5 linked regions of the Sus scrofa genome follow. The protein of the gene in region 4 interacts with the protein of the main gene of each other region in a biochemical or structural test. Links are inferred from orthologs where the notes say so. Each region holds a gene or a part of one and is shown on either strand. Other genes may lie near its edges.

What was found.
Region 1: the proteins of CREBBP (region 4) and ETS2 form a complex in vitro, tested with the Homo sapiens proteins (2 studies listed by BioGRID, with this or other methods). The link is inferred for Sus scrofa from reciprocal best matches to the Homo sapiens genes CREBBP and ETS2.
Region 2: the proteins of CREBBP (region 4) and ETS1 form a complex in vitro, tested with the Homo sapiens proteins (3 studies listed by BioGRID, with this or other methods). The link is inferred for Sus scrofa from reciprocal best matches to the Homo sapiens genes CREBBP and ETS1.
Region 3: of the proteins of CREBBP (region 4) and ZNF106, one has a biochemical effect on the other in vitro, tested with the Homo sapiens proteins (2 studies listed by BioGRID, with this or other methods). The link is inferred for Sus scrofa from reciprocal best matches to the Homo sapiens genes CREBBP and ZNF106.
Region 5: of the proteins of CREBBP (region 4) and MAPK3, one has a biochemical effect on the other in vitro, tested with the Homo sapiens proteins (2 studies listed by BioGRID). The link is inferred for Sus scrofa from reciprocal best matches to the Homo sapiens genes CREBBP and MAPK3.

Annotation. Positions count from the first base shown.
Region 1 is NC_010455.5:202,469,997-202,474,703, reverse strand, and holds part of ETS2 (protein C-ets-2), read right to left. Parts: intron 2,845-4,707; coding exon 2,733-2,844; intron 1,396-2,732; coding exon 1,276-1,395; intron 952-1,275; coding exon 751-951; intron 1-750. UniProt on the Homo sapiens protein: Transcription factor activating transcription. Binds specifically the DNA GGAA/T core motif (Ets-binding site or EBS) in gene promoters and stimulates transcription.
Region 2 is NC_010451.4:55,407,318-55,412,024, reverse strand, and holds part of ETS1 (protein C-ets-1), read left to right. Parts: intron 1-543; coding exon 544-663; intron 664-2,433; coding exon 2,434-2,634; intron 2,635-4,707. UniProt on the Homo sapiens protein: Transcription factor. Directly controls the expression of cytokine and chemokine genes in a wide variety of different cellular contexts. May control the differentiation, survival and proliferation of lymphoid cells.
Region 3 is NC_010443.5:128,931,122-128,935,828, reverse strand, and holds part of ZNF106 (zinc finger protein 106), read right to left. Parts: coding exon 2,972-4,707; intron 1,921-2,971; coding exon 1,290-1,920; intron 104-1,289; coding exon 34-103; intron 1-33. UniProt on the Homo sapiens protein: RNA-binding protein. Specifically binds to 5'-GGGGCC-3' sequence repeats in RNA. Essential for maintenance of peripheral motor neuron and skeletal muscle function.
Region 4 is NC_010445.4:38,485,265-38,489,971, reverse strand, and holds part of CREBBP (CREB-binding protein), read right to left. Parts: intron 4,389-4,707; coding exon 4,217-4,388; intron 3,922-4,216; coding exon 3,877-3,921; intron 1,682-3,876; coding exon 1,557-1,681; intron 902-1,556; coding exon 713-901; intron 1-712. UniProt on the Homo sapiens protein: Acetylates histones, giving a specific tag for transcriptional activation. Mediates acetylation of histone H3 at 'Lys-18' and 'Lys-27' (H3K18ac and H3K27ac, respectively).
Region 5 is NC_010445.4:18,290,581-18,294,521, forward strand, and holds the end of MAPK3 (mitogen-activated protein kinase 3), read right to left. Parts: intron 3,616-3,941; coding exon 3,484-3,615; intron 3,043-3,483; coding exon 2,933-3,042; intron 2,850-2,932; coding exon 2,727-2,849; 3' UTR 2,695-2,726; intron 1,512-2,694; 3' UTR 864-1,511; downstream 1-863.

The sequences.
Region 1 (4,707 bases), on a different chromosome or scaffold from region 4:
CTGGCAAATGACCCTAAGGTCGTTTTAAGAGTCTCAGTCTGTTATGATCATTGAAACGCGGAGTTTAAAATCAATTAAATAAGAAATAATTTCCTGAACCCTTCTAATGGACTTATTTTCCTGTATTTTTGCCTTGAATGACCCCTCACGATAATGTTTTTTTGGTTTTCCTTTTAAACTCAATGAACTTTCAACATCGCTCTCTTAAGGTCTAAATCAAGACTTTCTATATGATGAGAGTTCCTTCCTCAAAGGCCAGTTTCTGCATATCGGTGTGTAAATCTGTATCAATTCCTTCTACATTTGTTTATGAAAATAAAAGAAATTCTTGGTCTTAGGAACAGTTACTAGAAGAGTCAAGGGCTATCTGAAGAAAGGCTCCCTTTCACTGAGGCTGACTTATCTCTTAAGGCTCCATAAAGTGACCACAAAACACAAGCACCCTTGCCGCCTCCACAATCTGAGCCACACGTTCACCTCTGATGCGTGACATCTGGCAACAACGAGCACCTGGTGACTCAGGCTCCTGCCTTGTGGCTAATGCTCCCCACACACGTACTTAAATGGATCAGAATCTGGAATCACCACCACGAAGCTGACTCACTCCAATGGCACCTGCAGACAGCTTTGCCCCACATCACTGGAAAGGCTGACCACCCCCCCCCGCAAAGCTGGAGAGCACCGAGCGCCCCCCCCACCCTTTCCCTGCCACGCTCATCCCACCAGGGAGCCCAGTCGCTGGGCAGATACCTTTGATCATCTGCTCCAGATGCTCCCAGAGAATGTCACCCACAAAGTCAGGGGCCAGCTCCAGAAAGCGCTCCTTGCCAAGGTTACACAACACCTGGCCGGTCATGCCAAACCTCTGCAGGTTGACGTCCACCAGACTGAACTCGTTGGTGGCCCAGAGAAGCCACTGGCACACCTGCTGTTCGGTCCACAGCCAGGGATCTACCGGAGAAGGAAGAACAAAAGGAGACAGTGAGACCAGACGCACTCCTGGTTTACCTGCAGAGCCCAGATGGGCACCAGGGTCCAAGGAAACGAGTGAAACACCCAGGAAGAGTCTGAGGCGCTGAGAGCATGGCTGGATGAAGTGTTCAATTGGATGGGTGGTGAAATGAAGCACTGGCTCAAAGGACAGACATCTCTGTTCCTCTTTGCAAGATGCCCTACACAAATGCTTGAAATCAAGTCATCCCAAGCCATGGGGGTCTCGGGGCGTCCGCAGAGCACAAGGCAGGTGCAGAAAGCAGCACAGGAGGCAGCACTTACTCTTTGGGATGCCGAGGCGGCACTGCTCCTTTTTGAAGCCACTGAAGGTAGCTTTTAAGGCTTGACTCATCACAGCCTTGCTGCATGGGGTCAACAGGGGCAACTCACAGTTGGTCGAGTCTGCAAAAGAAACCCCACGGGGACGTTAGTTCAAGCTGGCAACACAGGCAGGACTGAAGGCAGAATATCCTTGTTTTTCAGGAAGCACAATTCTGATCTCCAATCTTCAGCATCATTTTGAACTTAATTTTTTCTTTTTAGGGTTGCACCTGCTAGCCTACATCACAGCCACAGCAACTCAGGATCTGAGCCGCATCGGTGACCTACGCTGCAGCTTGGGGCAATGACAGATCCTTAACCCACTGAGCGTGGCCAGAGATGGAACCTGCCTCCTCACGGACCCTGTGTGGTATTCATAACCCACTGAGCCACAACGGGAACTGCAAGCATCATGTTTTACAAGAGTATAAATATGAACAAAAAATGCTTTTGACTTAAATTGAGACAACATTATACATCTCATAACCACACATTAAAAAAAAAAATCTAAAAACTCGAGTTTGATTTTGCCAAACTTCATAAAGCAGTGATGGCTAGGTAACATTCCTATTTAAGATGCTTCTTAAATTTTAGACAATGGAAGAAACTGCGTAGGTTTTGGCCAAAAGGCTTAGGGGCTTGTAAGCGGCTAATCTGGAAGTGACTTCCATTAAACTCAGCCGCCAGCAAAGGGACCTCGGGCATCACACTTAGCACCCGGGAAGGTGACACACCTTCCGTTTTTACTGAAAAACAATCTCCTCTGGATTCCCTCGGCAGTTTCGAGAAGGATACATGATCATCACATGAGGGCACGCTTACGTAAGCGTGTGTTTTAATTAATTTTCTGGGCTGTTTTTCTAGCACCTAACTTCACGTGTCCAAATAATCTCTGGAATGCTTCCAACTAATAACCCCATCGCAGTGATGGCAGAGGCATTCGCGGATGTGCGAGTCCTTTAAAAAGAATAAACAACGACATGAAGAAGTACAGAAGCCGATACAGACGGGTCAAGATGAGCAGGAATCATTTGTCGTCCCCAGGCTCGGAGTGGGGGAGGGGCAGATCTGGGAACCCAGGATGGAAAGCTGGGGTGCAGTGTAATGCCCACTGGTCTGCTTTGCAGGGTGGACTGGGAGGTGAGGATGGGCTGGCTGCTGTGTTGAAACACCCCAAGGGCAAGCTCAGGGGCTCCCCTGTCCCTTTGCTCCCAGCAGGGAACTCGCTCTCCTTGGGGGGGGCGTCTGGCAGGTGACACCCACCACAGGCATTAAAAAGGAAAACTGCCTTCTCCCGGATCCAGAGCCTCTCCCTGACTTTCCCTACAAAGATTCAAGACACCAACTGTCATCTCTCTATTAACTGAACCGCTAAGGGACATCACGCTCAATTTGTCAAGTCCCGAGGAACAAATTACCGTGAGAAATTGAATCCAAGCCTGTTGGCACTTCTTGGAGCGTTTGTTCTTCATTTAGTGGGGGGAAAACGGAGAGCAGGGACCCATCCAAGGTGTCAAAGGCAGGCTGGCGCTGCAAAGACAGAGGCAAAGAAGGCTGACACATGACGGTTCAACTCAGTTAATGACCTGTCTGAAAAGCGGTCCATGCTTTTGAGAGGGTCAAATCAATCCAAAGGATTCTATCTTCCTCTAGGTGACTTACGGGCATGTCTTCGAGATTCTGCAGGCTCGGTGCCAGACCACCAAAATAAAGTGAGTATCGCAGTAAGGCAAGTCATACAAATATTTTAGTTTCCCAGTGTATAGAGACGTTATCTTTATTAAGGCATCCTTGTATCTAAATTATGTCAGAAGAATATCCTTATGTTTCAAAAACAATGCACATAGATAATTTGAAAAAGTCCTCCCTTGCTAGAAAATGCTACCATCGACTGAGTCTACAGAGAGTCAACCTTTTTGCTGGTGAAGGGTTTGAAACATTGTGAGAATCACCGAAAAGATGACACACACAGAGACACAAAGTGGGCAAACGCTGTTGAAAAATGGTGCCAGTGACTTGTGGACGGCAAGGTTGTCACCAACCTTCAATTTGCAAAAGATGCGGCAAAGCCAGGTGCAGTCTAACACTTTGGTACCCCTGTAATCACCTGCAGCATCAGAATGACGGAAATTTCTTTGTAATGGTCTCACCAACTTAAATGAATACATTCCGTCAACAAACCTAAACACAAGGAATCTTCCAACAGGGCCGGGAGGGACCTCGAAGACCCCCATGGGAGAGAAGCTCCGTCTGGTTGTGTGTATCAGAAAAACGACCCTTGGGGAGACAGTTTCAGCCCACCGCAGCTAAAAAGAAAGCCAAGTGACCAAAACTCAAGAAGCAAAGGACAAAATACATTACTTTATCTGTGGAAGCATTTACTCTGAGATGTTGACCGTAAAACACGAGCACAGAGACTAAAGTTCTCCCTGATCTATTTCAATGGTGCAGAAAACTGTAGGACAATTGAGAAGAGTCCTGAAGGTTTAATTTTATACAAGTCAAGTCTGATGAAAAGGACCGCCCCACCCCCACCAATCAAAAGGGGACAATTTCCAAAGAATGTCAGTTGAAAGTAAACCCACCTCCAATTCAGGGGCAAGAGAAGCACACAGAGAAAGAGAAGCCTGGAGCTGAGAGGATTTCAAACAATCTCACAGCCAGGAAAATTAAAAAGCCAGGGCAGAGTTCCCGTCATGGCTCAGTGGTTAATGCATCCAACGAGGAACCATGAGGTTGCAGGTTCAATCCCTGGCCTCGATCAGTGTTGGTTAAGGATCCGGCGTTGCCGTGAGCTGCGGTGTAGGTCACAGATACAGCTCAGATCCGGCATTGCTGTGGCTCTGGCGTAGGCCAGTGGCTACAGCTCCGATTTAAACCCCTAGCCTGGGAACCTCCATATGCTGCAGGCGAGGCCCTAGAAAAGGCAAAAAGACAAAAACAAACAAAAAAAAAGCCAGGGCCAGCACCGGGCTTCTGGAAGCCAGACCATTGTTTTTAATCCTAGACATTGAGTTTTCTAACTTTTTTTTTTTTTCGTTTTAATTAGCATTTATCAATGAAATAGCCTTTAACACAAGACGGATTTTTAAATAACAGATAAAGGCCTGATTCATTGTTGCCTAACTTGTGGAAGAAAAACGTGAAGAAAGGTTAAATTTTTCCAATATAAGCTAGAAATCCCATGTCATGTGTCATGCAGTGACCCATCCGTTGAGTCATCAATTAAAAAATGGGTAACACATTTACCAAAAAAATGGTCTGTGTGCTCTCCTTTTAGCAATGCAGAACAATGAATGAAACATTACATAAGAAGAGCCCGCAGAAGCTGGGGCTCCTCCCAAGCCCTGGAGACAAGGATGTCCCAACGGGCAGGAGCCCAGCCCCCAAACC
Region 2 (4,707 bases), on a different chromosome or scaffold from region 4:
CTTGCTCGCTTTTCTTTCTCTAATGCCTTGCAGGTAGCAAACACTAAATAATTATATACCGAATGAATGTGTTATTTCCTTTTCAGAGGTAACAGGAAGTGCATAGAAACATTGATCTTCTTGGGGAAGGAGAAGTAGGGGTAATGAGGGAATTGGTAGCGCTAAAGAGAAAGAGTAAAGGCATTTTGTCAGAGATGCAAGCCATTCTAGGCACGAGTTAGATTTTTATTGATGGGCCCTACCATGCTGTGGAAAGCCCCACAAATTTCACCTGCCCTGGTTGGGGATGTTCGTACAGTTATTTCTCAGCTTGCCTTCTTCAGACCATTCATACTCTGTTCTATTTTATGGTGGTGAATTACCCATTTCGTTTTGTTTAAAATCGAGATGTAACTGACATATAACATTATATTCATTTCAGGTGTACAGCACAATGATTTGATATTTATGGGGATTGCAAAGTAATCTCCACCATCCGTCTAGCGAACTCCGTCGCCTATTAAATTTTGCTAGTATTCATATGATATTATTTTTTTCTGACAGATATGGAATGTGCAGATGTCCCACTCCTAACTCCAAGCAGCAAAGAAATGATGTCTCAAGCCTTGAAAGCTACATTCAGTGGTTTTTCTAAAGAGCAGCAACGCCTGGGAATCCCAAAAGGTATGTTCTGTAATCGGAAAGGGAGAGAAGTGATCAGACTTTGAGGTATGGTTAGTTTCCTTACCTGTTGGGTGAGGTAGACATTATTACTCACTGCCCTTCAGTCAGCAGCTCCAGGTCTTTGCGGACATCCGCTGGAACAAGCACGGGCACATAGGGTGCTCCTTTATCTCTCGGGCTTGTGGCTGCCATCTTGGTTTTGGTCTTAGTGGTGCCCAGACTTGTTCGCACATTAGATAGGGGATTATCAAAAAATTCCACAGCTCAGGTCATGTCCCAAGCCAGTTAAGTCACCGTTGCTCTTAGCATCAGTAATTCTGAAGCTCTTCAAGTGGCTCCACAGTCAGACAAGTTGGGAAAGCATGGTTTCCGAGTCATGCTGCGGCCGCCATTGGATGAACTCAGCAAACTGCATTTCTGGGAATTGACTCTTTTCTGTTCCATGTCCTTTGGTGAAATGTGTTTATACTTGGGTGTTCTCATCTGAAAGGGTTTGTTCAGGACTGTAAGGGGAAGTGGCTTGAGTTGTCAGAAAGGAAAAATGGGGAAGACTTAGGCCTTGACCAAGCAGCATCTCCTGAGCAACTGAAAGCAGAAAGAACACTTTTCTATTGAGTAAGAGAAATGCTGACTTTACACCAGGTCAGTGCTGCTGCTTCATGGGAGGCTTCCACCCTGCCAGGTGCAGGCCTTGGGCAGATTCAGTAAATGTGTCTGCACACCTTTCCATGTGCTCTGCTTTCCCACAAGCCTCAGCTGACAGCGGTGCCCAGTCATAAGGCAGCATACAGTGATTTCTGATTTCTGACCACTGGGTTTTCCAACATCTCATAAAGTCATCTTCTAGATTGAAGACAATGTCTTTGAGAGCAGGCAGGCTGTGGGCACCGCAGTCTGCCATCATCTGAGCTCTTTAAGTGTCATTAGCTGGTGTAGTCATGTTAAACCAGGGGCCACACAGAAAGATTATGTATTATCTGTTCTGCCCTGGCATTCATCGCAGGGCCCATGATATGTGCGTAACATTGCAAGGTATCTGGTACAATACAGGTACCTAGTAAGGTTGTTTCTACTATCATTTGAATGACTTATATTACTAATTGCTATGATTGTCACAGCAGGTCCTCTGTATCCCAGGGCACATTCCACCAAGCACAGATCGGATTTAGTTGGTTGAATCTGAGGAGGTGGGAATCCACAGCTACAGAGGGCTGTGTGTACGCAACCACTTTATATAAGGGTCATAAGCATCCATGGATTTTGGTACCCAAGGGGCTCCTGGAACCAGTCCTCCTCTCTTACCTAGGTTCTACTACACTAACTGTAATTCAGATAAAAATGGTTAAGCATAAGGCAATAGAGTAAATTACGAGAGTTAAGAGCAGGGATAGGTGAGTGCAGCATCTGGAGCATAGCTGACTCTGTTATTGTCACTGTTAAAGAAGTCATCTGTTCCCTTGTCCCAGGCTTTAAAGAAAAGTTTGATGGAAGTAAGGCCGGAAGAGAGGGGAGTCCTGGAATCTTTGCCTGCAGATTCCGTGGGTAGAGAAAACGCTGTTCCTTTTTGGCTGATGACAGTGACTCCTAGCTGGCAGGAGAGAGAAGATGGGGATGATGCACATGGGCAGGAGGCTTGTGGCAGGTGCTCTGTTGGGCATTCCTAATTCTGGGAATCTGAGACCATGCTTGGCCAAGGTCAGATCCTTTCCTGTCCTCTCTGAAGAGTTAAGAGCCTGATCTGCTGGAACTTGATTTGCTCTCTTGCCTCAGATCCCCGGCAGTGGACAGAGACCCATGTTCGGGACTGGGTGATGTGGGCTGTCAATGAGTTCAGCCTGAAAGGTGTGGATTTCCAGAAGTTCTGTATGAACGGAGCAGCCCTCTGTGCGCTGGGGAAAGACTGCTTTCTCGAGCTGGCTCCAGACTTCGTTGGAGACATCTTGTGGGAGCATCTGGAGATCCTGCAAAAAGGTAAATGCATGGTGGACAGGGTGAGGTGGCTGCCCCATTCAGGTGGCTTTGAGAGTAGGCTGGGAGCGTGCCCAGTGGTGCAGCATTGATGCTGTAATCTGGGTGTCCAATCACAGCATGTATGGTCTACAGAGAGAGGCCATGCAGTGCCTGGTAAACAGCAGGTGCTCAATAAAGGCTAGTTTCTTTTTCTCCTATGGATTGGAGGTTCCAGTTTTAATCTTTAGTAAGACTAGGCTCCTGAAACTTCTTGGTATGCAAAATTCTGCTCCCAGTCCTCATCTGGGACTCGTGTTCTGTTTGAACAAGCAGTGCCCACAGGCAGCAGCAAAAGGGTTTTCCTTCTTTTTCTTCTTCTTTTGGCAATCTTAAGATGCATTCCCTTGCTCCATGGTCCCATCTATGAGAAAGCTTTATTTTGCAGAGCTTCGGAATAAAACAGGCTTCTCTGCCCACTAACTGGACCGGAATTGCAGCAGTGAGCGAGGTGCATCTTCTTCATCTGGAGCAGAAACTAGGGTTATGTCAGGACGTGGTGTTGCAACCTTGTAATGACACGGCCTCCCCTACCAGCCCCTTCCAACCTTTTTGGACCAAGTGACTCATGTACCACAGTCCTGGCTGAGTATAGAAACAGCAGCAGGCGGCAAAGTTGGGTGTTTTTGCGCTTATTTTTCTGAATTTCTTCTTAAAATAAATTGCAGTTACCAGCAGTCAGCAGTGCCCTCCAGCTGACTGTAAGCCTAGAAGCTCGTTGCCCTCTCTGACCCAGGCCCACCCTTTCCCTGTGGTCACCAGCTCCAAGCCCTGGCGCAGACGCTGGGGGCAGGGAGCAGAGCCCAGGCTTAGCCCTTTTATTCCCTATAATACCTTCCTTTGTTTAGGGAGATTTTTCCACTCTGCAGTGCCCCCCGAGAGACCCAAGGGAGACTCCTCTGGAGCAGAGAAGTGTTATCTTTTTTCCTTCTCTTCAGCTTCTGCTGAAAATTAAATAAATAAGCAGGGTGGAGAAGGAGGTGGGTCTGGCCGAGGACTGCTGGGCACCTGCACCCGCTTCCCCGAAGCACCGAGGTGCTGCCCCGTGTACCTGCACAAAAACCGCTCATAGGTGTTGACGTGAGCGCCTGTTTCCAGAGGAGAAAAGGTACAGCAGGCTTCGAGCAGATATGACGCGAGCATTGGTTTATAAACCCGGCGGTGGAGTCTACCAGACCGTGGGACCTAAATATATGGCACTAATCCGCTCTTTCCCTCTAGTCATCACCACGGGGCAGGCAGGTGTCCTGGAGTGTCTAAGCGGGCCATGGTTTCTGTTAATGTCGCCACAGCATCTTCCGGTTTCCCAAATGCTTGAAAACGCATTTTTCTCTTTGGGCTCTCGAAACAACCGTGGAACGAAGGAAGGCCCTGTACTCTCTCAGAGTCCTCATCTGTAAAATGAGGACGGCTTCGGTGGTCTCCCCAACGTCACGCCTTTCCTTCAACTTCCGGTCTTTTCAGGCCACTTCCTGTCTTGTAATGATGCGGACTCCTGGGGGAGCTTCTGGTCTACCTCCCTGCAAAGGAAGAGAATAAGTGAATCTCGGAGAAGCAGACAATGAGGGAGTGGGTTTGAGAACAAAACTTGTATCATCTCACCCGTTTGCAGGGGAGAGAGACAGTTGAGAGCCGCTCTGCAGATCCTTGAAGAGCTGAACGTGATGTTTGTATGGAGGCTGCAGCTTTTGTTCTGTAATTAAACAACAGCAACCCCGCACTGAAAGAACATAGCTGTTCTGGGTGGGGTTTAAGGCCAAAGGTACAGGGATGTTTCAATCTGATAAGCTGCTCAAGCAGAGTTTAATCATTTTATCTCAGCTGGGAACTGTTTTTCTGTGCAGGCATAAACTTGTTTTCCCAGCAGTCTCTGTTCCCAACCAGCTATCAAATACCCGAGGAAAAACCCAAACCAAGCCTCTGTCTTTATGTCGGAGTCTTACAGTGAAATGTAATCAGACCACTTGAGATAATGGTCAGAGGCCACCACCAGTTTCCAGGGTCCTCCGAGGACCTGCAGGCTCCGCTTAGTTCAGT
Region 3 (4,707 bases), on a different chromosome or scaffold from region 4:
AATTTCTTTTTGCCAGAATATTCTATACTCTACCTTTCTTTCCTTTAATTTTCCTTCTTTTGTTTTTTCTCTCAAGACTTGGGAGTTCAGGAGAAGACCCATCCTAAGAAGATAAAGAAAACTGAATATTAAACATGTAAAGGCCATTATTGGGGTTTATTTGGGTTTATTGGGAGGGAAGAATCAATTCTAAGATCATCATACATTATTCTTCATTACTGCTACCATCTCTAACAGGACAGTAGGGGTCTCATGCATATGGTATGAATTCAAATATTAGTTGAATGAATGGATCTGATTTAAAAAAAAAAATCCAAGGTAAATTACATTCCTGGCATCCTAGAGGTGGCAAAGCCCACAGGGCTTAGGCAAAGCATTTCACCTGGGTAAAAGCTAGTAATACATTACCTGATTTCATAATTTCTACATTAGAATTCAGCAAGAAGATCTTCAAAACAAAAAGCTCAACAGTCTCAGACTAGCCTCAAGGTAACAGCTTTGTCATAATCCAACAATGCCCACTACAGCATCTAGCTCAAAGAGGCAGAGAGGTGGGGAAGTTAAACCCAGGTTTAGAACCTATGCCTCTTACTTTGTTATACTGTCTTGGAATTAAAGGAAATGGCCCATTTTCTCACAGTGCCAAACTCCAGACCATAGTACCACCAGCAACTCTTTCTTTTTAGAAAGGGTTCCACAAAGAGTTAAGCGCAACATTAGAAACAGAGGCGCCAAAAGAGAAGTGTCAGTGAAGTAACGGACCGGGATGGGTAACTGAAGTACAAAAGATACCGAGTGACAGGGACTAAGACTATGCTCACACACACGTACTCTCATGGTATTAAAACCTCCTCGGGGATAAGCCTAGTAGTCCCGGGGGCTGACAAGCACACATGCCCAACCAATTCCACACTAGAGTTTCCTTCTTCAGTAGCAGTACAGAATGTATCATGAAAACAGATAAAGTTACAGCTGAAGATATGGCTTATTCCTTGGTCAGTTGATACAAAGAATCATTGGCTTAGAGACTAGTTTTAGAGATGACTTCATAGTTTCCTAGTACTGTACATTCCTATTCTATTACACCTAACTTAGTAGAGCTACTCAGTGAAAGAATCCAGGAGGATAAAAATATGAAAGTAAGAATAAGAACCTCAGAAATCTTCTATTCTGGAATAGGGAGAAGCACATCCCCAGATATCCAAGAAAGATTAAACAGTTAAGTCTTTCTTATTATGGCCAAGTCACCACATAAAATGTTCTACAAACAGCACAAGAATCATACTTACCCCAGTGGCTCTTCGTTTTTTTCTAATGCTCTGGCCATCATTTTGTTCAGCACCAGAGGTACAGCTACTATCTGTGGCTGCATCTGCCAAACTGGAGATTGCAAGGGCTGAGGATGCACTTGATGACAAAGAGTTTCCTTCTCCATTACTCTCCTGGGCATTGTGATTTTCTGAAGGTGATGTGGAGCTCTCCTGGCTGTGCAGGTCTTTCGCCAAATGCATCAAAGGAATCGTACGGTCAGATGATAACTGGGCACTATGTCGCCTTTGAGTAGCATCATATTCAGCCCTTTCATCTATTCTTAGGGAGGCAGCCAGAGGTGTGACTTCCTGCTTAAGGACCATGGTTGTTTTCTGACTCTGTGTAGACCTCAATGAGTTATCTGGTGAAAAAATCTGCTGGGGCTCATTTTCTTTGCCAGTACTTTCCTCACTGAAGAAGCTATACACAGAAGCCCTATCCATGATCACACTACTCTCCGAAAGGCTTCGTTTCCTTGCCAACCCAGGGGATGAAGAAATGGAAATATCTTCCCACTGGAATCCTTCTAGATTGGACAGATCAGGCTCCCCATCCAAATCCAAGTCTTCTTGTTCATTTTGAACCAGAGGCACCATTTCTATGCCAAACCTCAAGAAATAAAAAGAAAAAAAAATCATAAATCAGACATAGTTGGGAAAGGGGGAAACCACTTAATGTGCCCAATTCTGTTTGGCACTGAGGTTACAAATACAAACAAATAACATGGTTTCTGCCCTCAAGGAACAGTTTAGTAGGAGTTCCAAACATAAAGTATGTAATGCTATTATAAGTATTATAATGTAATGAGTTCTAAATTAAATATTTTTTGTGTACAACTATATACAAAGGGGGGAGTAAAACTGAAGATTTAATGTGGAGTTCTAAATCAACGATAATAAATGTGTAAGTTTTAACAGCAAATAGAAGACAAACAATAATGTTTAGTGAGCATTCACAAGCAGGAGACACCATGCTAAGAACTTTATAATCTCAAGGATACAAGTTATGGGAATAGAAAAGGGGGCATAATAATTATGTTATTTCAACAAGGATAGAAATTTAAGCCTGGATGGCTATACAACTGTAACACAGCAGGATGATTTTCAAGTAGCAAACCTATGGTAAAGGCTGCTTTACCATTCAGAAAAGTTTAGTGCCTCAACAAAAGATGAATAGCCAAACTACTACATAAGTACTTCAGAGAAAGTATTTTGTGATTATGAATATAATGTCCAGAGTAAATACAGAAAGATAAGCATCTACATGTTCTAAGTAAAATGCAATGGAAACACTTACACCTAAAAGTCGTACCACTGATTAAGATCTACAAATAGATACAGATTTACAGACATACTTTTTTATGCTGCGACTTTATGGCCCCATCACCAAAATGCCGGATTTCTGATGGTTTTTTCCTATGTCCCCACCTCATTTCTCAGAAGCAGGTATGCTTCTTTTTAACCTCAAGTCCTTGCTAGGAAACACTTTATTTCATTTGTTACAGAGTAGGAGTCACTCTTGGATATTTAAACCAGACATCTACAACGTATATTTTTTGCAAACATTTAATTAAATTTAACAAGTAGAATTCTCTTGACCAGAGTCAAAGGGCAAGTTTAAAAGAAAAAAAGAGAAATGGAAACTGAAAAGAAGCACACACCTGGGTAAGCCTTTGCCTAGTTCTTGCTTTTTCTTGGTTACTTGCTGAATGACCTGTTCCCAGTTGACATTTCTCCGAGATGCATTTAGAATCTGCCGAAGGGTTGGCTTGAGTCCAGATTCCTTCTCTGTCTCACTCTTTCGATGACCACTGATATTGCGAATGCGGCGAGCACTATTGAGGTTTGGCTCAGGAAGGTGTGCTCCAGTTTTGCTCTTTAAGCTAATGTGCCGGGTTAGATCTCTCTGGAGTGAGGCAGGAAAGCCAAGCTTACTTAGTTCAGGCAGGAGGGGACCTGAGGGCTGACCTACATCGCTTTTTTGAAGCTCGGCATCCAGGCTGGTACTCTCGAAGCCTTCTGTTTCATAAGATACATGAGGTTTAACAGGGTCATCAACCTGTGCCTCTGCTAGAGAGGTTTTCAAATCTAGCAGTAAGCCAGAGTGTGGGCTGGTTATAGATGTCATTTCCAACTCAGATTCTTTCTGGTCAACTGTTGAGTTACATGGAGAGGTGGATGGTCTTCTAGATGTTTTCAGGTTTTGGTCATCCCCCCTTTTCTCATCAGCAGCATGAGTACTGCAGGATAAAACTTCTGTAGTTACAGAATCCAAGGTTCCAATTTTTGTTCCATGCTTTTCTGTGTCAGATATCTCTCCATCGCTTTCATCTTCTGATGCGTGTACTTGAAACTCAATCTTCAAAGATCCTTTTTCAGACTCTTCTACATTCCTACTTGCTTTTGCATAATTCCTGGTGCTTTTAGAAGTGCTAAGAAGTGGATTCTGCAATGATTCGTGACACTGTAGCACCTCTTTGGCTTTTTGTAATGTATCACTTAAATTTTCATCAGGATCTCTTTGGATTCCTGATGTACTTTTATTCCCTTTTAAAACACGAGGACAAGAACCCTGCGATTTGGATATTGAAGAAGAACCCTGATTTTCTTCCACAATGGGTTTGTCCAGGGGATTTGAATGTTCTCCAGGAAAGGAAGAATTTGTTTTGGTGGTTTTGGAGGCATTCTTTGAATCTTGTTTTTGAGAAATTGATTTAGTGGCTGGAATTGGAAGGAGTGGGGATTTTAATGATGGTGTTTTATTTGATTTATGTTCTTGTTCAGGTTTTTCTGTAATGGGACTTTCCCTCACCACCTCATAGGAAGCAGTGCAGCTGGAAGTGGCTTTGCGACTAAGAGACCCGGTATGTTTTTTTTTGTGTGTTTTCAGCATTGAGGGATTATTTGTTTCATCAACTTGGGGGTCTTTTGTTCCTCCAGTTATGAGGCTAAAATCAAAGAGAGGCTTCTCTATCACTTCTGACTTGTTACCAGTGACTTCTTTCATTCCTGATTGTAAATCCAAAGTCTTCTGGGAAGGGTAAGGAGTCCAGCGATGGAGCTTTTCCCTTGCTACACTGCCATTCTTCCCACCAATTTTGGAAGCTGTATTATCTGTTTGTTTAGTGGTTTGGCTTTCCAGCTGCTCAAAACTGAAGTCAAGTAAGCCTTCTGAAGGAAACCTATCACTTGTAAATCCTTCAGAAGGACCTCTGTATGTGGCAACTGTACCAACCTTGTCATTTTCTTGCCGCTGCCAACTGTATCTCCCTTGACTGTATTTGCCTGACTTAGATTTCTTATTCCATAACATAGTCATGTCCTCCATTTGACAGTTAGAATTTCTGTTTCTGCTTGGTTGAAATTTGTCTCCGGGGCCACTGTAATTCCAACTATT
Region 4 (4,707 bases):
AGTTCTCTCTACTTTTATGCCGATTAAATAAGAACCAGGCTCCAGGAGAGGAGAACTAGTCAAACGACCCAGTTAAGCCTGACTTCGCCTGGGCGGGTCAGACATTAGGAGTGAACTCATGGGGCCTTTCCTCACCCCCTCTTTTAAATCCAGTGTCTCTCAGGATCACATGTAAAACTTAGAATTTAAAATACACAATTAGGAGTTCCCCTTGTGGCTCAGTGGTTAACCAACCCGACTAGAATCCATGAGGATGCTGGTTTGATCCCTGGCCTCGCTCCCTGGGTTAAGGATCCGGTGTTGCTGTGGCTGTGGTGTAGGCCGGCAGCTGTAGCTCCGGTTACACCCCTAGCCTGGGAACCTCCACATGCCGCAGGTGCGGCCCTAATAAGACAAAAAAATTTCAAAAAAATACACAAATGATAACCAAGAAAATGACAACTAAAACCCCAAAACAAAACACAGAAGCACACAAACCAAAAAAGCTGTAATACATTCATTCCACTTTTGCATGAAGTTCACTCCAAGTTGGTAAGAGTCATTCCAGACAAGGCAGAAACGATGGAAGACACGGGGGTGGGGGATCCAGAGATGCTAGGACACGAAACGTTAAGTCTAGAATCCTCACGTCCATGACCTAGTAAGACCTGCTGAGGTCAGGGGGAAGCTGGGCTGCATCCACGGAGAGGCTCAGAGCCCCGAAGAACAGTACCTGGGACACGGCTGCCTGTGCCGCCGGCTGCCCCAAGCCCACGCTGTTCACACTCATGGCCCCGCTGGCTGACGGGAACTGATTCTGCGGCAGGAACTGGTTCTGCGCAGGCGCCTGGGCCATCATGTTGTTGGCATGTGTGCCCATCATGTTTGGAGGCTGAGGCATTCGGGAAGGAGAAATGGCCATCTAAAAGACAAGGTCACAGACAGCTCAGGGGGCGGCAAGGGCCAGAGCCTGCTGGATAAGCGGGACGAGACAGGAATCTCCAAACCCTCCCTCGCTGGAGAGGACCCACCACTCCCTAGACCTGCTGCTCTCAGCCTCCCTCTAAGTTTCTCGAGCGCCATTTCTAACGAGCCCACTTCACACAGTCCTCTGCATACACACCAATAAACAGTGTGCTACAGCTTCAAGTCCCAAATGTGCCTTTTATGAGTTCTTGGAGGCACTTAAGAAAGCAGCCTCCGGAAAGGAAACTCTAGGAGTCACCAGACACTGACAAGTCCCTCTCGGTCCCTCCTCTGAGGCGGCTTGGCCCCATCCTCAGAATTCCCATCTTTTCATTACGTCATGGGTTCCTAGGAATCTGTCATCTCAATAAAAATAAATAATGGTCCAATAATTCTTGTTATAGTAAAGTTGAGACAGAGAGGGAGAGAGAGAAAGGGAAAGGGAAGTGGCGGGGGAGGGAGAGAGAGAATCAGAGGAAATAAAGCACAATCCTAATCTGAGGGAGCAGGTAGCACAGGATTCCCAGCAATCGACACGTTTCCCTGCAGCGAGGATGCGCCCCACTCGAGCAAGGCCCCTCGGCCCGGCCGAGGCAGGCAGCAGCACTTACCCCTGGAACAGAGCCCATGCTGTTCATTGGGACAGAGTGGTTCATGGGGGATGCTGCGCGCGGTCCCATGGGAGCTTGTGGCAACTGTACGTTCCCCAAGGACATTGGGGTAAATGAATTCATCCCTGTGAAGATACCCACAGCGGTTCATTAGGAAGAGCACCCACAGGAAAAGAGAATCACAACTCACCAAATAAACTCTAAGCAAAACAGAATGAACACACACACACACTACGTATACAACGGAAAGGAAACCCCCTCAGTCAGAAGAGACGGCTGAGTAACAGACTGGTCAGGAAAAATGGCACCAAAGCTGCGGTGGTGAGGGTGGTGCAGTGGGGTGGGTGGCAGGGCAGCATGAGGAGGTGAAGGCAGAAAGGCAGGTAAGCTGCGAGCAGACGAGGCTGGGGCAGCACTCGTGCCAACATGTCGCGGTGACAAAGCAGACGGAGGCGGCCAGCTGGTGCCAGGGCGCCCACCCAGCCCGCCGTGCGAGCCTTCTGGGGCACCTGACTCCCAGCTCCTCTCTTGTAGGAAGCCTGCTCCCACCACCCCAGACCTTCCAGGCTTTAGACTTCTCGTGAGAATCTGCGGTAAGACTCAAAACATGGTTTTAATTTTGCAAGCACATCACGTGTTCCGGAAGTGCCCTGAGGCTGGCAATTCTCAACCTCAGCCTCCTCTCCACAGGCGGGAGGGATCTCACTGCCACGCTGCCTTCGCGTTCCCAGGGGCGCTGCACCATCAAAGACAGCACACCAGCTGCGCCTGTCTCTGGACCACGGGCTCTCTTCCTTAGCCATTCCCCAGGATAACCTCTGAGCTCTCCATAAACGCTGGTTCAGTAAGTCTGAGGACCCACAGTGGCGCGGGACAGAATCCTGGAGGCACCGCCTAACACAGGTGCGGGGTCAGGGGGCCTCAAGGAACACGGGACCCCCTCAGCACCGCTTAGAAATGTCACCTATTTAACTAGGTTTCAGCACAGGCCCAGGACTTCCCGAGAAGCCTATAATACAAAAGCGTCCCCCTCTCCATGAGGATTGTATTAAATAAGAGAAAAAGATGTACGAAGAAATAGCACCATAAAGAGCCGCTTTTCAAACCTCGATGTGCTGGTAAGGGGGCCTGTGCTTCCTTAGCAAACACCTCCTTCCCCGCTCTGCTCAAGATCCCAGACCAGAACCTTCCATGCCATCCCGACGCAGCACCAGCCACTTTCCTAAGGCTCAGCTTCTCTGATTTCTTGTTTCCTCTCGCCCTCACACCTAGCCCATCTAAACACGTCTCTGAAAAGCTTCCTCCGCATGATCAGTTTATCCACCAGGTCTTTTTCAGTAGGCAGTACAATTACCACACCTTTATTTTTATTTTAAAAACTTAGGTGCTCCTTTTCTTTATATGGCCACACCTGTGGCATAGGAAAACTCCCAGGCTAGGACTCGAATCGGAGCTGCAGCTGCCAGCCTACACCACAACGTGAGGCAATGCCGGATCCTCAACCCACTAAGCGAGGTCAGGGATTGAACGTGCGTCCTCACGGACACTATGTCAGGTTCTTAACCCGCTGAGCTACAGTGGCCACACTTACCACACCTTTAAATCGGCCTCTTCTCCCCTCTTCAACTCCTCTACACACAGCAGGAAAGCCTTGCTTTGGAATCTGGATAATGTCACTATTTCATTTCGCAAGCTGTAAAATCATCCTACTGTTCATGTCTCAATTTGACAAGAGCTGTAAAAGCTCTGAAATGACCCTCACCCCCAAACTCCCAAACTCAAATGACTGCTTCAATCATCACCAACAAAAAGAATCTCAACGGGAGAAAGAACCTCTGAAAGCTGTTCAGACCAGCTGCCAAGAGCCCGGCCTGACAAGGACTCTCTGAGCACCAACCTTCCCTGGCCAGCCTCTACGGGGCCCAGAGCAACCACCGCGCTTTCCTCACCTCGCCCCTGGCAGTGCCCCTGCCCCAGGGCGGGCTCAGTGCGCTCCGTTCAGAATGTTCAGAGTTTCTCTCCCTCACCTACAGTGCCTTTTTTGGGAGACTCTTCCTAAGGGCAACGTCTTGTCCATCCAAAACACAAACAAACAAAGGGTTAACTCCCGATCTCCCTGGAAAAGTCCCCTATGATCTCGAGACTTCCAACTGCATCAGATATGCCGTACTGCCCATGAACGTGGATGCTGCTCATCAGCAAGGAGGAGCGGGAGGAAGAGAAGGAGCGACAGAGAAACACAGAGGGAAGAGGACACACCCATCGACTCTGTGGCTGTGAATGTGAAACCAGAATGTGAGTGACAGTAATAGTTTGGTACCTTGAGAAACCTGCATGCGGTTCACAGGCAGGGGCATGGGCCCATCTGCAAGGGCAGAAAAAACAGCATTACAGAAAATCATCTTGCAAACTTACAGAGAAAGCCAGTCAACAGGGGCAAGAGCACCGAGCAGCCTGACGCTGGCACACCCTTTCGAGGCCCATCCACCAGGGGGACTCAACTTCTAAACACAGGCCATGGCCTCGGCCATGCCACGGCCACCCCCACAATTTTCTAAGCACAGGCTTCCTGGGAACATGATTCCACATGCTCAGAAATCATCCCAGATGCAGAAGGAGAAGCGGGGAGGCAGACGGAGAGCCAGAAAGGCAGTCCTTACTTGGCGGTCTCACGGGCTGGGCCTGTGGTATGCCAGGGGGCTGCGTCCCAGGGGCTGGTAAGGCGGGCTGGTTCCCCAAGATGCCTTGTTTGTGTAAACGTGACCTCCGTTTTTCTTCTAGTTCCTTTTGTATCTTGTAGATTTTCTCTGCTAATAAGTGATAGTACTCATCCTGAAAAGCAAACCTCCACACTAGTTACTCGTTACAAAGAAGCTCTGCGCGCGTGCGTGTGTTCTGACCAACTGACGATCGTTTCAATTGAGCACACTGGCGCAGGTGAGCATGAGCACCCAGGGATGGGACAGCATGTATGAGGCAGCAGGGACGAGGTACTCATCACAGGTGAGTCCACAGCTGAACCTCTTCTTGGATTCGCGCCGGCAATGACACAGGACAAGCACTGTAACCAAGGCCGCCACCAAGTAAATGCACAGATAAAAACGACTTCATCAGAGTTCCTGCCATGGCATACCAGGAGGGTGGCGTCTCT
Region 5 (3,941 bases), about 20 Mb from region 4:
CCACCGCCTCCTGCCCCATGCCTACCCTGGTCCAACTCACCTCCCCGGTGGGCTCCCAGGCGGGGATAGAAGGCTGGAGCCCACGGTGTGTGCAGCAGGCGGGGTCGGCGCAGGAAGAAGATGGAGAGCATGACATAGCTGCCCAGGGCGGGCAGGGCGTAGTACAGCAGAGGGCTCATGGCCGCGCCACTCTCCGGACTCCGGCTGCCACGAGCTCAGCCGTTCCCGATGGACTCTGCCGACTGCCTGGCTGATGTAGGCTGGCTCCACCACACCCCTTGGGACCTGCTGAGCCTGCTGCTGGCCCGGGGCCAGGCTGCAGGGCTCCGCTGGGGATGGGGTAGAGGCAGGAGGAGAGGCCCGGCAGCTCTGGTCCTCGTACCCCAGGTCCTTCACGCTTGCCCAGTGTCCCTCTCTGCGAGATCACACTGGGGGAACCAGGTGTGTGTGTCCCCTCACCTTCCCCCCGCCCTACACCAGCTCTGCAACAACACTCCCCCTCCCGCTGAGGCGTGTGGCCTCGGGGTGTACACCATCCGGCCCCTCGCCCTTTCCAGGGAATCCGGAGGTGCAGTGGGTGTCCCTGAGTCACTCTAGAATCACTCCCAGCCTGTTGGACACCGGAAGTCACGAGAGAGGGGGCAGGAGAGTGACTAAGGGGGAAACTGAGCCCACTCTGTCTAGGCATCTGGAACGCCTTCCACTCCCATCCTTAACCCTGGCCAGCGGGGGAGCCCAAGGCCACTGTGCCACCCGCCCGGTAAAGCCACAGATGGGAAGCGGGCGGCTGGGCGGGAGAGTCCATCCCCCAGGCAGCAAGGGGTAGGGTCCGGGCGACGGCAAACACAGACAGACCAGGGCCATCCGTATACACATCTCTATATTTATATATTAGATACAGGCACGGGGGTGGGCGGGGGCGCTGGGCGCTCCAGGGGCCCCCACCTCCACTTCTGTTCACCCACACACAGAAGCAGCGGGGACGTTAGACGTGGCAGCTTGGTTGGGGGGGGGAGAAGGGGCTTAGGCCGGGGCCCTGCTCCTCCGGGATACTAGCCCTTGAGCCTTAGGAATGTTCCTTCAGGGGACATGGGGTGTGGCTTTAATGAGGCAAGCGGGGCAGGGCTGGCCCTGAGTCCCTACTCAGGGTCCTCTCTGCCCCACCCCCCTCACCTCAGTAGGTCCTGGGGCAGCCAGAGCCCTTGGATTCCAGAACTACCAGGGATTGGGATAGCTGGGGGCGGGGCGGGGGGGGGGCAGGCGGAGGCTGAGCAGCAGCAGGGGGAAATTTGCTTTGGGGCCACCTGAGCCCCTCAGGTCCTGGGAGGCGGGGAGGGTGCATCAGCCTGCCTGAAGCAGGACGCCTGAGCTAAGCAAGGGGAGGTGGCCAGGCCCACCCTCTGCCCCCGCCCCGAACCTGGGCTGGCTGTCGCCTGGGGGGGTGATCTGGGCTGGGCTCTGGGTCCATTTTCTAACAGTCCGGCAGGGGAGGGGCAGGCAGGAGGCAGGGCCTAAACAAAAAGGCAGGCAGGAGAGGAACCATTAATTAGAAACCATGAACCTGTGGAAAGTAATATAATGACTTTTCTATCACAGGAAATCTCGGTTGCTCCATGGTTGCTCCATCTTGCTCGGGTTTGGGCTGACACACCTTCCTGAGACCCCGCCTCCCAGGAACAATTTGTTTCAAAGTAGCCAAGCAAGAAGGATGGGCACCCTGACCTGACCCATGGAAAGGGGGAGGGTACATCCCCTGCGTTAGGGGTCAATTGGGAGGGTCTTTTCTTCTCTGCACGTGCTTTTTGAGCGCCCGCGCCCTTCTGCAGAAGTAGAGAGCCCTGTCGAGATCGCCCCGTGTTCATGTGTCTCATTTTCCGACCCTGACCATCCGAGCCGTGTCCCCCACCAGCCTGCCGGAGCCCTGACCTCAGCTCCCCTCATGTTATCTGCGCAGCCGAGTGGGATGCGGCTGGGTTTCCTTATCTGGGAATGGGGCTAACCAGGAGCACCCGGTTCAAGGTACTGCTCTAAGGACTGGTGAGTGAACACACGGGAACCTCTTTGCTAAATGCGTGGCGCTTGGGAGGTGTTTGCTCTCCTTATCAGGACTGTCTCCAGGAAACTGAGGTGGAGGAGGGTGAGGTGTCTTGCGCAAGATCAAGCAGCCCTTATTACGCATCAGAGCCGGGCCTTGAACGCGGGGGTGTCCGCCTTCTGCTATCAGGCCGCAGCTGGCCTGGGACAGAAGGGAAACTAGAGAAGAGTGGGGGTGGGGGGAGGCCCGGCAGGGTCCCCCACAGGTATGTGAACTGCTGACCTGATACTAAGTGTGAAAAGGCCTGGCATATATGGGTCAGGCTGGGTGCTGGCAGCTCCTCCCAAAGCAATTACTGCTCCACCTGCCTCTCTGCCCGTCCAAGGGGAGCCAAAGCCTGGTTCTGCTCCATGATGGGTGGGAGGGGCCCTCAGTGACCTCTGAACGCTCGCTGGGGCTGGAGTTGCCAGGGGTTGATAGATGGGAGACGTGTGGGGCCGGAGGGGACCACCGGGTCTGTGGACGAGGCTGGCTCTGGTCCTTCTGTTGCCACCACACCTGTGGCTTGTGGATATGGGAAAGCTTGGGACTGCGTGGGGGCCTGCTGGGCGCCCTACTCTCAGGGGGATTCTGGGCGTGGGTGGTTGCGGGGCACTCACCAGGCCCCAGAGAGCAGAGGCATCTGTCCAGGTTAGGGGGCCTCCAGCCCTCCGGGCTGGAAGCGGGCTGTTTCCTGGAAGATGAGTTCCTTCAGCCGCTCCTTGGGTAGATCATCCAGCTCCATGTCGAAGGTGAAAGGCTCTTCGGCCACTGGCTGAGGTGGCAAAGAGGCGGGGAGGCTCAGGACAGGGACCCAGGGGTGCCCACCCATCCGGCCTGCCTCTCTGGCTGGCCCACCTCATCTGTTGGGTCGTAGTACTGCTCCAGGTAAGGATGAGCCAGTGCTTCCTCCACTGTGATCCGTTTGTTGGGGTTAAAGGTCAACATCCGGTCCAGCAGGTCAAGAGCTAGGGAAGGGCAGGGGTCAGGGGTCAAAGGGAGGGCCAGAGGAGCTCCCAGAAGCATTACTTTGCTTCTCTGTGTCCAGCGGCCTGTCTACTCAGGCAGCTGCAGGGCTCATGTACTTTCCCCTGCACCCAGGTTTTTTTTGTCTTTTTGCCTTTTCTAGGGCCGCACCTGCGGCATATGGAGGTTCCCAGGCTAGGGGTCCAGTCAGAGCTGTAGCTGTTGGCCTACGCCACAGCTCACAGTAACTCGGGATCTGAGCCGCGTCTGCGACCTACACCACAGCTCCTGGCAACGCCGGCTCCTTAACCCACTGAGCGAGGCCAGGGATCGAACCCGCCACCTCATGGTTCCTAGTCAGATTCATTAACCACTGAGCCACGACAGGAACTCCATGCACCCAGTTTTTACCAAACACACACTGGCTCCCACGCTTCTCTCACCTTTGGGGTCCGACTTGGGGAAAAGCTTGGCCCAGGCCACCTTGGTCTTGGAGGGCAGAGACTGCAGGTAGTTTCGGGCCTTCATGTTGATGATACAATTCAGGTCCTCCTGGGATGGGGAGCCCAGGATACCTGTGGGTAAGCAGGTGACCCGGTGAGCAGCCTATTCCTTCTGGGAACGAAAGGAGCCAAGAACAAACGCTCCTACCAACTTACTCGAGGACGACAATTATCTCACAGCCGATACTGCGCTGGCAAAGAGCAAGAGGTCTGGCTCTGGGCAGCCCTAGGTTCAAATCCCAGCTCTAGCTTTTCCTAAGTGTGGGGCAGATGTAGTCTTGCTGTTCCCATCTATCCAAGGGGGACACTCTCAAGTGAAATACTGTGAAATGCTCAAGGGGCTGCACACACCGTGGTCCCCCCGACCTGCCTCTCACAGACTCTCGGACACTGACCCT